Daphnia pulex: one gene and its partners. The protein of the gene in region 3 purifies or fractionates together with the protein of the main gene of each other region. This does not show direct contact. Links are inferred from orthologs where the notes say so. Each region holds a gene or a part of one and is shown on either strand. Other genes may lie near its edges.

Evidence for each region.
Region 1: the proteins of ubiquitin carboxyl-terminal hydrolase 36-like (region 3) and ATP-dependent RNA helicase DHX33-like purify together in Homo sapiens (affinity purification with mass spectrometry; 5 studies listed by BioGRID and IntAct, counting the BioPlex papers as one, with this or other methods). This does not show direct contact. The link is inferred for Daphnia pulex from reciprocal best matches to the Homo sapiens genes USP36 and DHX33.
Region 2: the proteins of ubiquitin carboxyl-terminal hydrolase 36-like (region 3) and nucleolar GTP-binding protein 2-like purify together in Homo sapiens (affinity purification with mass spectrometry; 3 studies listed by BioGRID and IntAct, with this or other methods). This does not show direct contact. The link is inferred for Daphnia pulex from reciprocal best matches to the Homo sapiens genes USP36 and GNL2.

What each region holds. Positions count from the first base shown.
Region 1 is NC_060023.1:1,400,287-1,404,038, reverse strand, and holds the start of ATP-dependent RNA helicase DHX33-like, read left to right. Parts: upstream 1-895; 5' UTR 896-1,126; coding exon 1,127-1,377; intron 1,378-1,441; coding exon 1,442-1,574; intron 1,575-1,637; coding exon 1,638-1,937; intron 1,938-1,996; coding exon 1,997-2,181; intron 2,182-2,253; coding exon 2,254-2,329; intron 2,330-2,396; coding exon 2,397-2,590; intron 2,591-2,655; coding exon 2,656-2,785; intron 2,786-2,848; coding exon 2,849-2,891; intron 2,892-2,952; coding exon 2,953-3,044; intron 3,045-3,118; coding exon 3,119-3,273; intron 3,274-3,366; coding exon 3,367-3,538; intron 3,539-3,616; coding exon 3,617-3,752. UniProt on the Homo sapiens protein: Implicated in nucleolar organization, ribosome biogenesis, protein synthesis and cytoplasmic dsRNA sensing. Stimulates RNA polymerase I transcription of the 47S precursor rRNA.
Region 2 is NC_060028.1:1,711,811-1,715,562, reverse strand, and holds the start of nucleolar GTP-binding protein 2-like, read left to right. Parts: upstream 1-1,012; 5' UTR 1,013-1,163; intron 1,164-1,231; 5' UTR 1,232-1,255; coding exon 1,256-1,332; intron 1,333-1,388; coding exon 1,389-1,602; intron 1,603-1,677; coding exon 1,678-2,079; intron 2,080-2,141; coding exon 2,142-2,243; intron 2,244-2,304; coding exon 2,305-2,673; intron 2,674-2,737; coding exon 2,738-3,682; 3' UTR 3,683-3,752. Other genes in the region: protein trapped in endoderm-1-like, read left to right, coding at 1-27. UniProt on the Homo sapiens protein: GTPase that associates with pre-60S ribosomal subunits in the nucleolus and is required for their nuclear export and maturation.
Region 3 is NC_060018.1:5,362,633-5,366,384, reverse strand, and holds the start of ubiquitin carboxyl-terminal hydrolase 36-like, read right to left. Parts: upstream 2,633-3,752; 5' UTR 2,433-2,632; coding exon 2,174-2,432; intron 2,098-2,173; coding exon 1,943-2,097; intron 1,877-1,942; coding exon 1,472-1,876; intron 1,398-1,471; coding exon 1-1,397. Other genes in the region: clusterin-associated protein 1-like, read left to right, coding at 2,926-2,947, 3,027-3,223, 3,308-3,353, 3,420-3,538, 3,596-3,752. UniProt on the Homo sapiens protein: Deubiquitinase essential for the regulation of nucleolar structure and function. Required for cell and organism viability.

The DNA of each region.
Region 1 (3,752 bases), on a different chromosome or scaffold from region 3:
TTTTGTGTACATACTGGAACCCATTCAAGAGTGCAGGGCATTTACACACGTATCATCTGCAACTAAAGAAATAAAACATTTGTTTAAAAAACAGCTGTGGTGTTTCTTGTTTAAAAGAACTGAAAGATTATGACCAGGGTCAAACCAAACAGGAAGACGAGGGGGGAGAAAAATTTGTTTTAAAAAATGCACAGAAAATGTTTATAGAGTCATCAACTGCTGGACGTGCACACATAACGGTCGCGTCCATTACCGTAGTACAAAAGACGAGAGAAAAGAAGAACCCGCTTTCGTCAAAATGTCCCGTTTGTTTTGAGAGTCTTAACTTCTTCCCCCCTCCTCCGCTGTAATATCTTTTAGACACATCTCTCTTCCGTTTGAATTATAATTTAAACGGTTCAGTTGTGGATGGAGTTATTTTCAAGTTTCAACAGTCTACCTGCTGTTGTTTTGGAGGGGGGAAAGCTAAGAAGTTCTCTTGTCGGCACATGCTTCGAGTTTTTCACAGTTTGTCGAGATGACAATCGTTATATCAATACGTCTAGCAGGCCGTTATTATGGCGTAGACTATTGTCAGAAAACGTGAAGGAGCGGTTTTTTTTTCAGTTGCCGATAATAACGTCTTTTTTCTGATGGGTGGAAATACATATCTTTAGTCTCTTCTATTTTAGAAAAACACCGCACTCGGGGGAAATTCTTTCCATTGTTGGGCAAGTGGCACGTTTTGGAATGCTCAACTGGAGAAATGGCCGGCATCGTAACGGATGAATACGTAAATAGGTAATTCGGGAAGACTAACAAAAGCCAATCAAGCATTATTTCTTTTTTTGTAAAAAGAAATTGACGATGAGTGGACTTTTATTGGAAATTGTGCAATGCAGCAAATTACCCCCACGTTATTTCCTAGCAGACGAACTAGCACGAATCGACAACGAGTGCAGTTGTCTTGTTCTTGACAAATCAAACAAGTTTCCAATTTTTCTATTTTTTAATTCAAATTTTGACTACTTTTTTGGGATAGTGTGAATCATGATTTATTAAATTCTTGTCGATTCAAATTGTTTTCATTGTGGGAAATTGAGCTGCCGTCGTAGAGTTCCGCACACTTTCGGGCAAACACTTTGACATGAGAATGACTGACTCCTCGTCACAGAATAATAATGACGGTGCTAACGGTTCGCACGGCAAACGTCCTGCTCAGAATAGTGGGAATTCGGGAGCTTCCTTCCCCAAAATAGTTAAGTTTAATGGTAATGCCCACAGACCTCCAGGCAGGGATTCAAACTCTCCCAATAAACGACCTATGCCAGCACACTACTCTAGAGAGGACTTGCTGGCCCAACGGCAGGCCTTACCAATCTACCCAGTTCGCCAAAAGTAATATTTCTTTAGTAAAATTTTGTAATGTGTTTTGTTAATGCATTTTTGTTTGTTTTTAAAGGTTACTTGAAGAACTGAGGAAACATCAAACTTTAATCGTTATTGGAGAAACTGGAAGCGGGAAAACAACACAGATTCCCCAGTACATCTTCACTCATGCAATGACTGAGAATGGAACTATTGCAGTCACTCAGGTTTGTTAATTCTACCCATTTTATGTGGGAAAAGTTTAATTGTAGTGTTTAAATCTTTTACAGCCAAGAAGAGTTGCTGCCATAACTCTTGCCACCAGGGTAGCGCAAGAGATGGGTGCTCAGCTTGGCACAACAGTTGGATACACTGTACGCTTTGAAGACATGTCCAACTTCAAAACCAAAATCAAATTCTTGACAGATGGTATGTTACTCAGAGAGGCCATGCTGGATCCACTCCTGAAGAGATATAGCGTCATCATTCTTGATGAGGCTCACGAAAGGACCATTCACACAGATGTGTTGTTCAGCGTTGTCAAAACTGCCCAGAAACGACGTGCAGAACAAGGAAACAATAAGTTGAAAGTGAGTTTACCTTTTAACTTTATCAGCATTGAATGACATAACATAATTCCATTTCTTAGATTGTGATCATGTCTGCCACTATGGATGTTGACCATTTCAGCCATTATTTCAATAAAGCTTCCGTAGTGTACCTGGAAGGTCGACAGTTTCCTATCCAAGTCTTTCACGCCAAGCAAACTCAAGAAGACTATCTTTTTAGCTCATTGGTGACTCTCTTTCAAATTCATAAAGATGCACCAGCTGAGTAAGAAAACATCTATTTTCAAATTGTCCTATGATCCTGTTTATAATTCTCTTTTGATTTTTGTTTACCTAGTCATCACATTCTAATCTTCTTGACCGGCCAAGAAGAGATTGAAGCTTTCGCCAAAAGTGCTCGTACGATAGCCAAGGTATACAGTTTAATCTAAAAAAATTTTAAAGTAAACAGCTTATTCACGTGGTAAATATTTACTATAGGACCTGCAAGGCAAATATCCAAATTTAAAAGTTTGCCCACTGTTTGCAAACTTACCGCAAAATCAGCAGATGGAGGCGTTCAATAACCCACCGCCAAACACAAGAAAAGTGGTGCTCAGTACAAATATTGCTGAAACTTCTGTCACGATTGATGGTATACGTTACGTTATCGACTGCGGTCGCGTCAAAGCCAGGTAATTTCTACTACACAATCATCATGCTTGGATTTTGTCATTGAATCTTTGTATCAATGATTCAGAACTCACATGCCCGCTACTGGAATGGATATTCTTAGAATACAAAAAATCGCCCAGGCTCAGGCTTGGCAACGGGCTGGTCGAGCTGGTCGACAAGCAGCCGGATTCTGCTATCGTGCCTATACATTGAATGTAACTTTTTAAAAGTTATTTGAGATTTGTGATTAGTTGTAAAATGTTGGTTTATTCAATTAGGATTTTGAGAAAATGGCGCCAAATCCAATACCTGAAATTCAACGTAAGATTTATAAGTAAAAATGCCATAAACACTATATTGACAGAATTTTTGGAAATTCTAGGTTGCAGTTTGACTACTGTTGTGCTTCAACTTCTGGCCTTGGGCGTGCAAGATCCGCTGAATTTTGATTTCATGGATAAACCGCCAACTGAGGTAAGATTCCCTGAAATGTTTGGACTATAGATTGAATTGTGTACGTATTTCATTGAATCTAATCGATTCCACAGCTTATCGAAGGAGCCATGCGGGAACTTCACTTACTGGGCGGGATTCAATCGACAGAGAAACCTGTTTTAACCGAAGTGGGCCAACAGATGGCAGCTTTCCCACTTGATCCACGCTTCACCAAACTGATATTGGCATCGAAAGAGCTCGGATGCACGTAAGTTTTGCCGCTTGATTGGATTCCCGTGCCAGTGATTCAGCAATCAAATCGACCGGTTGCGGTCGTTGTGTTTGTGTCTTTTAATCGCAGGGAGGAAATTGTGAGCATCGTCGCGCTGTTGTCGGCCGATTCGATCATGATCAACGCCACTGCCCAACGGGAACAGGCCAACAACGTCCGTGCTAAATTCGCTTCCTCGGAGGGCGACCATATGACTCTGTTGAACATTTTCCGCGCTTTCAGAACAGCTAAACAGAACCGAGTAGGTGTTGACGAACCCACTAAATTGTGATTTACTGTAACACTGATTGCATTTGTGTCGTCGTTGTAACACGGGCAGAATTGGTGTTTTGAGAACTTCGTCAATTACCGGAACTTGCTGTACGCCGTCGAAGTCCGGAAACAGTTGGCTGAGTTGTGCGAGCGGATGAACATCCCGATGAAATCGTGCAATCCACAGACGGAACCGGTCCGCC
Region 2 (3,752 bases), on a different chromosome or scaffold from region 3:
GGCGATCAGCAGCTGGCCAGGGCTTGAAATGAACGAATAAAATGCGCAATCTAGACATTTCCGCCATTTTAAAAATTAATTAAATTGGCCAGGGAAAATCACAAAATTTGAACCCAGTGTACATATGCGTTGTTCTCTCTTTCATTTGTTTAGATGTAGAACAGAATGGGAATTTTTTCTTTTTTAAAATATTTCTGCGCGATTTTTTGCTATCGACTTTTGTTTGTTTTTTAAATCCAATGCGGAAATTTTTGAATTTTTTTTTTGTTTGGTGGGAAAAATTGCCGAAATGTCATTGAGATGTCGCATGAAATTATTACCATGTCTTTTATACTACATGTATTCTCCTGGCAGAGAAAGAAGCCGCCGACGGGCGAGAGAACTTCATTTACATTTTTAGCACATCATATCGAAAAGCAGACAACAAAAAGAAAAGAAAAAAAGAAATATGAAAGATAGAAAAATTTTCAAAAAAGACAAGTTTGTGTGTGTGTGTTTTTTTTTAAATATTTCTTGTGTCTTGTACGCACGGTTCCTCGTAAATGATGTTGTATACACATTTCATGTAACTTCACGACTCGGAAATTTTTAAATTTCTTTTATAACTGTGTGTGTTCGTATACAAGTGCATGTATACTATATTGGTTGATTTTTTTTTAAAGAAAGAAGGAGAAAAATATTATCGAACCCGCCTATATAATCCTTATAGGGATGGAGAGGATTCAAAGTGGTTTTTTTTGTGTGTTGGTTGGTCGGTCAATGACACGCAGAGTTAAAAAAAAAAGAAGAGGATGTGATTTGTGTTCCGATAAGTAATAAGCTGTTACCAAAGGGATAGGCTGAGCTAGTCAAACAGGTTTTTTCTTTAGTCATTCTGCCACTGGGCATTTTACGTCGATAGGCGACATGGAATGATAATTTTTTTTTTTTACTATGTGAATTTTTTACCGCTAGATGGCAGCACGTTTTAACTTTGGAATTTGTTCCTAGATGTCAGCTCAAATAGCAGACGTTTTCTTGAGAGACTTTTCACGACAACACGTGTGAAAAGAAGTACGAAAAGTTGTACGCTTTAAAGTTTATGACAAATTTTGTTTTTTTATAAAAGTAGTTTGCATTTGATCTGTTTACGTTACAGATATTGAAGCTACTGATTCTGAGTGGTAGGTCGTATATTTATTTTCAGTATTTTCGTGTTTTGAATAGCAATGTTTTCAAATGTTAAAAACAGGTTTAAGCATCGTACTTCCTCAAAATGGCTAGGACTGTCCGTAAGACCGATCCGGTCAAAAAGGCCGGACGAAAAGATGGATTTAACCGATCCGGACACAGGTTTGTTATTTGTCACTAATATACTAAATGTTTGCTAATAAAATCTTCTGATGCAGTATGAACCCAGATCGAAAAATTTCTGGTCTGAGGGGAGTGAGCAAGGCAAGAGATAAGGCCACAATCAAACGATTGCAGATGTACCGTAACTTTAAGGCCAAGCGTGATGAATCAGGCAAAGTCATCCGCCCAGCACCTTTTCAATCCAAATTTGCATCTGGTACTGTTGCACGTGTGGAACCTAACCGGCGCTGGTTTGGAAATGTCAGAGTGGTATGTGATCGTAATTACTACTTCACCATTTCTTTGATAGTGATCAAATATCTTAATCTACGTGACTATATTTAGGTTGGCCAATCAGCACTCCAGAAATTCCAAGAAGAACTTGGACAGGCCATCAAGGATCCCTATCAAGTAGTAATGCGTCAGACAAAGCTGCCCATCACTCTGCTGAAGGAATCCTCTAAATTCGCAAGAGTTCACTTGCTGGAAACTGAAAGCTTTGAAAACACTTTTGGCCCCAAGAAACAGCGAAAGCGGCCGAGCCTTGCCACCGGTGACTTGGACAGCTACGTATCCTCAGCCCAAAAATTCGGTGACGGTTACGAAATCGAAAAGGACGGAGCTTTGGTTCGTGATCTGCCAGACGATCGCGAACTGACTCGAGAGTGGATCATGAAGGCTGGCCTCAGCAAACGAATCTGGGGAGAATTGTACAAAGTGATTGACTGCTCGGACGTCATTATCCAGGTATTGAATTATACCAAATCATTTATTTGAGTTCAATTGTACTAAATGTTTAATTTGAAAAGGTTTTGGACGCCCGTGATCCTTTGGGAACTCGATGCAAGCAAGTCGAAGCTTATATCCGTAAAGAAAAAAGCCACAAGCAATTGTTTTTCGTGCTCAACAAGGTAAGCAAAGTCATTCCCAAGATAATTTAGACCCCTGGCCTCATTCCATGCTTCTTTCTAGGTGGATTTGGTACCAACTTGGATTACCCAACGTTGGGTCAAGACGCTCAGCTCCGAGTACCCCACCATGGCCTTCCGTTCTTCGATGACCCATCCCTTTGGTAAAGGTTCGTTGATCAATTTGCTGCGCCAGTTCGGCAAGCTTCACAGCGACAAGAAACAAATCAGCGTGGGTTTCATCGGCTACCCGAATGTTGGAAAATCGTCCGTCATCAATACCCTGCGCAGCAAGAAAGTCTGCAAGGTGGCGCCCATCGCCGGTGAGACCAAAGTCTGGCAGTACATCACGCTGATGCGTCGAATCTTCCTCATCGACTGCCCGGGAGTTGTATTTCCCACCGGAGAGACGGACGAGGAAAAAGTGTTGAAGGTAAACCGATCGCAATTTGATTTACCTGATTGCAAATTCTAATACGATTGCTCTATTCTTTCAGGGTGTCGTTCAAGTGGAAAAGCTGAAAACGCCCGAAGACTTTATTCCAGCTGTGCTGGAACGGGTGAAGAAAGAGTATTTGAGCCGCGTCTACAGGTTGAACGACTGGAAAGATGCCACCGACTTTCTCGACCAGATGGCCCGCCGAACGGGCAGGCTGCTAAAGGGTGGAGAACCGGACAACAACGCCGTGGCCCGAATGGTCTTGAACGATTGGCAGCGAGGCAAATTGCCTTTCTTCGTCGCCCCTGTCAATCCGGATGCGGCCAAAGTGGAGGAGAAAACCGAAGGAGATGCCACAGCCGCCGCTGTTGAAGAGTCGGGAGAGGAGACTGAAAAGGACAAGAAGAAATTCGAGCCCAGATTGGCCCAGGATTTCAGTAAAATTCGGGTGGATCTGAAATACGAAGGTGACGACGTCCAGCCTTTGGAGGCCCAGCCGGACTTCATGGACGACCCTTCGGCCGACGAAGCGGAAGACGATGAAGACGCAGAGGAGAATGTGGCCACCGACAAAGCGACGGAAGAGTCGAAATCGGCTGATGTGTCCAAAGGGGAAGACCACGAAGGTCTCGACGACGAGGAAGACGATTACGAGGATGAGATGGACGAAGAAGAAGAGGAAGATAGCGACGTGGATGCGGCGGCCAAGAAGAAACAAGCCAAGACCCTGAAACTCAAAGCGAGAACCATCACCAAGAGCGGGGCCTTTTCCGTGACGCCCACGTCGCGATCGACCAAGAAAGGAGGCGGCGGTGACGAGGACGACCGACCGGAAAACCCGCGCTGGAAGCTGACTTCGAGAGAGAGGAGAAAGATCGATCGCGATCAGAAAAAGAAGAAGATCGGCACTCACTTTTACGAAGTGGTCAACGTCAAAAACAAGTCGAAGAAGAAGGGTTTCTTGGAGATGGCCAAGGCCTTTAGGGGTCACTGTAAGAAGTAGTGTGGGAGTTGCTTTTGTGATTGTCTAATCTTCTTTATGAGCTGATTATAACGATTGATTGATTCTAATT
Region 3 (3,752 bases):
TTCGTTGCTGGGTCAGTGCTGGTTATGAGGGAATGCTCCTCCTTGACGGGCTCGGATTTCGTTTCTTTGACTGGTTCAGTCGGAAGGGTTGCATCCTTACTTTTACAAGTTTCGTTTGTCAGTTTTGCGTCGACTTGCTTAGTGGAAGGTCCAAATATTTTCCCACTAATGAGACGAATCTTGTTACCCAGTTTTCTTAAAGGTGGTGTGTCCTTAGTAGAGGGTGGATCCATCTCTGTGTCGCTGTAGTAAACCTTCTGTTCACTACGTGTTGGATTAGCTCTTTCTGATTCAGTATCACTCAATGATCGAACGATCCATTTCTGACTGACACTGCCGCTGCTAGTGGTACTGCTGCTGCTGTTGTCCTGCTGAGTGTTATCTGATACTTGCCACTTAGTGGCGACTGTGGGCCCACCGTTACTTGACACTGTAGTTGGTGTCTCAATAGGAGTTGGAGATGGGCTGACTTGCCACTTGGTTTCGGTAGCTTTCAAAACAGCAGATGATGAATGGGTTTCTGTGGTAGCATTGGTTGTGGCAGTTTCTTTCTCTGGTTCTTCATCCGACGATTCGCCATCGTAAGGCACCAAGGCGGTCGGATTTTTAAGTGGGGAGGTTTTTGGAGCAGTTACAGGGACGACGCGTGGTTCTTCCTTGACGGCTGATACGTTAACAGGAGCAACAGTAACAACAGGAGAAGGGGGGAGCGCCGTAGAAGATTTGAATAGTGCCGACCCGTTTCGCATAATCAATCGAGGTTTTGTTAGAAGAGGATCAGCCTTTTTTAGTTCAATTTGGATTTTTGGACGAGAGGGCTCTGAAATTATCGCCGGTCGTGGAATCGGAAGCTTAGGCGAAGGAGCTGGACTGTTAGCTTGGATGTTACTTATTTTAGCCATACTATTAGTAGGAGTAGAAGGAGACGATTGCACTTTCTCGTAGATCAATACATATGCGCCCGTACTCATTGCGACATTAAGTGAGATTAGACGGACGGAGCAATCGTCGAAGAGATACAGTTGTCCATTGCTTGCCTCTGCAATCGCGGTGTAATGACCGCAATGCTGTGATGGACCCATGTGATTGATGAGCGATACAAACTTGTAGGCAACACAGGGTCCACCCGACGACTGATGAAAAAGAAAGCGATTCAAGTTCAGGTTACGACTGAACTGGATGTGCTTGGACATTTTCCCGCCCATGAGTCCAAAACGCTTCAACTGGATGCACAGTACATTCGGGGCGCGCTCAATTGAAAATTTTTTGGTAGCAGGGACCTTGCTCTTGCATTTTTCGCATTTATAAGCATTGTCTCCTTCAAGCCTCTCGCGACGGAAATAATGACCCAAAGCATCATCTAGAGTTGAGGCATGCTGAATATCCAAAGGGATGTCCTACATATAAAGAAGAAAAGAAAAATATTAACTTGCTTTAGAAATAACTATCACCTTTTTAAAAAAAAAAATACCTGAAAATGTTGGAAGGTGGTTGATGTGTGTTTACACTTCAAACAAGTAACCTCAGTTCGTATGTAGCCTCCAAATATCTGCCCGAGAGGGTTAGTCTCTTTACTACGCGAGTCGAGTTTAGTTCCACCGACGCTCTGAAGATACGCCTTTTCCATAGCTTCCATTAAGTATCGCATAAATTCATGGGCATCTTCTTGCCTTCCATGAACTAAATGTTTGCAAATCAGTTTTAGTCTATTGTAGACCAAAATGGGTTTGATAACAGATCCTGATTTGTCGTGCGTAGACTGAAGTGTCTTAGCAATAATACACACAACACAGAGCTGACTTCCATTAGGATCACAGTTTTTACATTGTCTAACACTCGACAGCCAGTTAGACAATGATGGGACGTGGAAAAGTGCCTAAAATTATTTAAAAAAAAAAAAACATTAAATAATGTATGTACATAAAAAAGATTTAATACTTACTTGTAACGTTGAATTCATATAACAAGTATTTCCCATATTTATCATGCCAGCTCCAACTGGTACAGAGCCTTTCCACCCAACTTTCACATCTTCACTTCGAAACAGGGTGACCTTGGGGGCTGGGAGCGAATCTTGAATTGTCACAGGACTTGATCCTACATTTAATATCATTAATTTATGTAACAAACTTATTAATAAGGGAAAGAAGTAACTTGGAACTGATAAAAATACCATTTAGGGATGTGATTTTAGCAGAAAGGCTGGAATTGAGCACAGTATACTTGCTCTTCAATGTGTCCAGCGAAAGTAGTTGTTGTTTAGGAGCAGGTTCATATTCAATGGATGAGAGCAATACTCTCTTGGCAGATGCTGCCAACCGATCCTCGAGTAATTCTGGAGCATTTTCTGTTTCATGCGAGTAAGGACCCTTTTTCCCGCTCAAAGCGGTTCGCAGTACGAGAGCCACCGGATCGGCCACCGAAGCAGGCATAACAAAAATGCACAATGTCAACAAAATGAAACAAATCAAACTAGAGAAACAAATAGCAGTGGATTCAATAATTTTTTCGTCAAAACGTCATGCCCAAAAGTCACAAATTTACTGGTAACACATTTGCTTCGAGAGCAACAACACGTGAACAGGGCCAAGACACGTTCACAGCCGAAATCCTTCGCCATTAAAATGAGGTACCAGTTTGCTATCAACCCTAAACACCCCATCATTGGAATCATTATCTTGAAAATTCGCTTACATTTTGAAAAATTATCATTTACAATCATACAATGTTTGAGAAAATATTCAATAATAAAATATTTTATATGTCAACAATAAAAAATTGTAGGTGTTAATTTTAGAATAAAATAATAACCATGTCATTCCCTAAACACAGAGTTGCTATGGAGACATTAATAGCCATGCTTTCAAACAAACTTCGCCTCAAGACTTATTCATTCCTTTTAAGCAGCCCAACAAAATTTAAAAAATGTCGTATCGAGAAATTACAGGTAAAATAAAGATTTCTGTAAAATCTTTGAGACGATACATGTTTCTTCTTTTTTTTATAATGATTTCTAAAAATTATAGATTTTATTGATAAAATGTGTTTACTCGGTTACCCGCGTTTAATTTCTCGCGAGAATTTCCGATCGACTAATTTCGGATTAGTAGCTGAGATATTGAATTGGTTTTGCCAGCAGTTGGATGTCAACAGTGGAATTAATTTTCTCATAAAAACAGAACAGGAGCGCGTAGTTTTCGTAACATCCGTTGTAAAATTCCTGGTAAAATGCTTTCTTAAACTTATTATTATTAAAATTTTTAATGCCCGTGATATATTTAATACAATAACAACTTTCCTCTTTCAGAATACCAAATTACAAATAAAGCTAAATCCTAAAAGACTTTACCAAGGTAAGTGATTCACGATAAATGTAAACGTAATAGATCTAGTAATTTTTTATGATTATTTGTATCTAGCGGACAATATAGCAGTGAGAGAGCTTCTCAACGTGGCCAATTTTTTTTACGAGGCCTTGCAGCTTGCTCGTAAAGGAGGTGACAATAACGAGCCTTCTCTTTACGGATTTGGTGGTCAAGTAAATTTATTAGATTACCATTACAAGGTTTTAGTATTGACACCGATGTGATTCAAGGCGGAAGATGTTCGTGAAATGCGTCAACTTGCTTCTGAGATTACAACAAAAGGAGCTTCCATACACGATTTTTTAGGCCAAGAGATGCGTATGAAGAATCAGCGTGATCAAGTGCTACAGCGAACCTATGAGCTGGGACAAATTGAAACTGCACTGC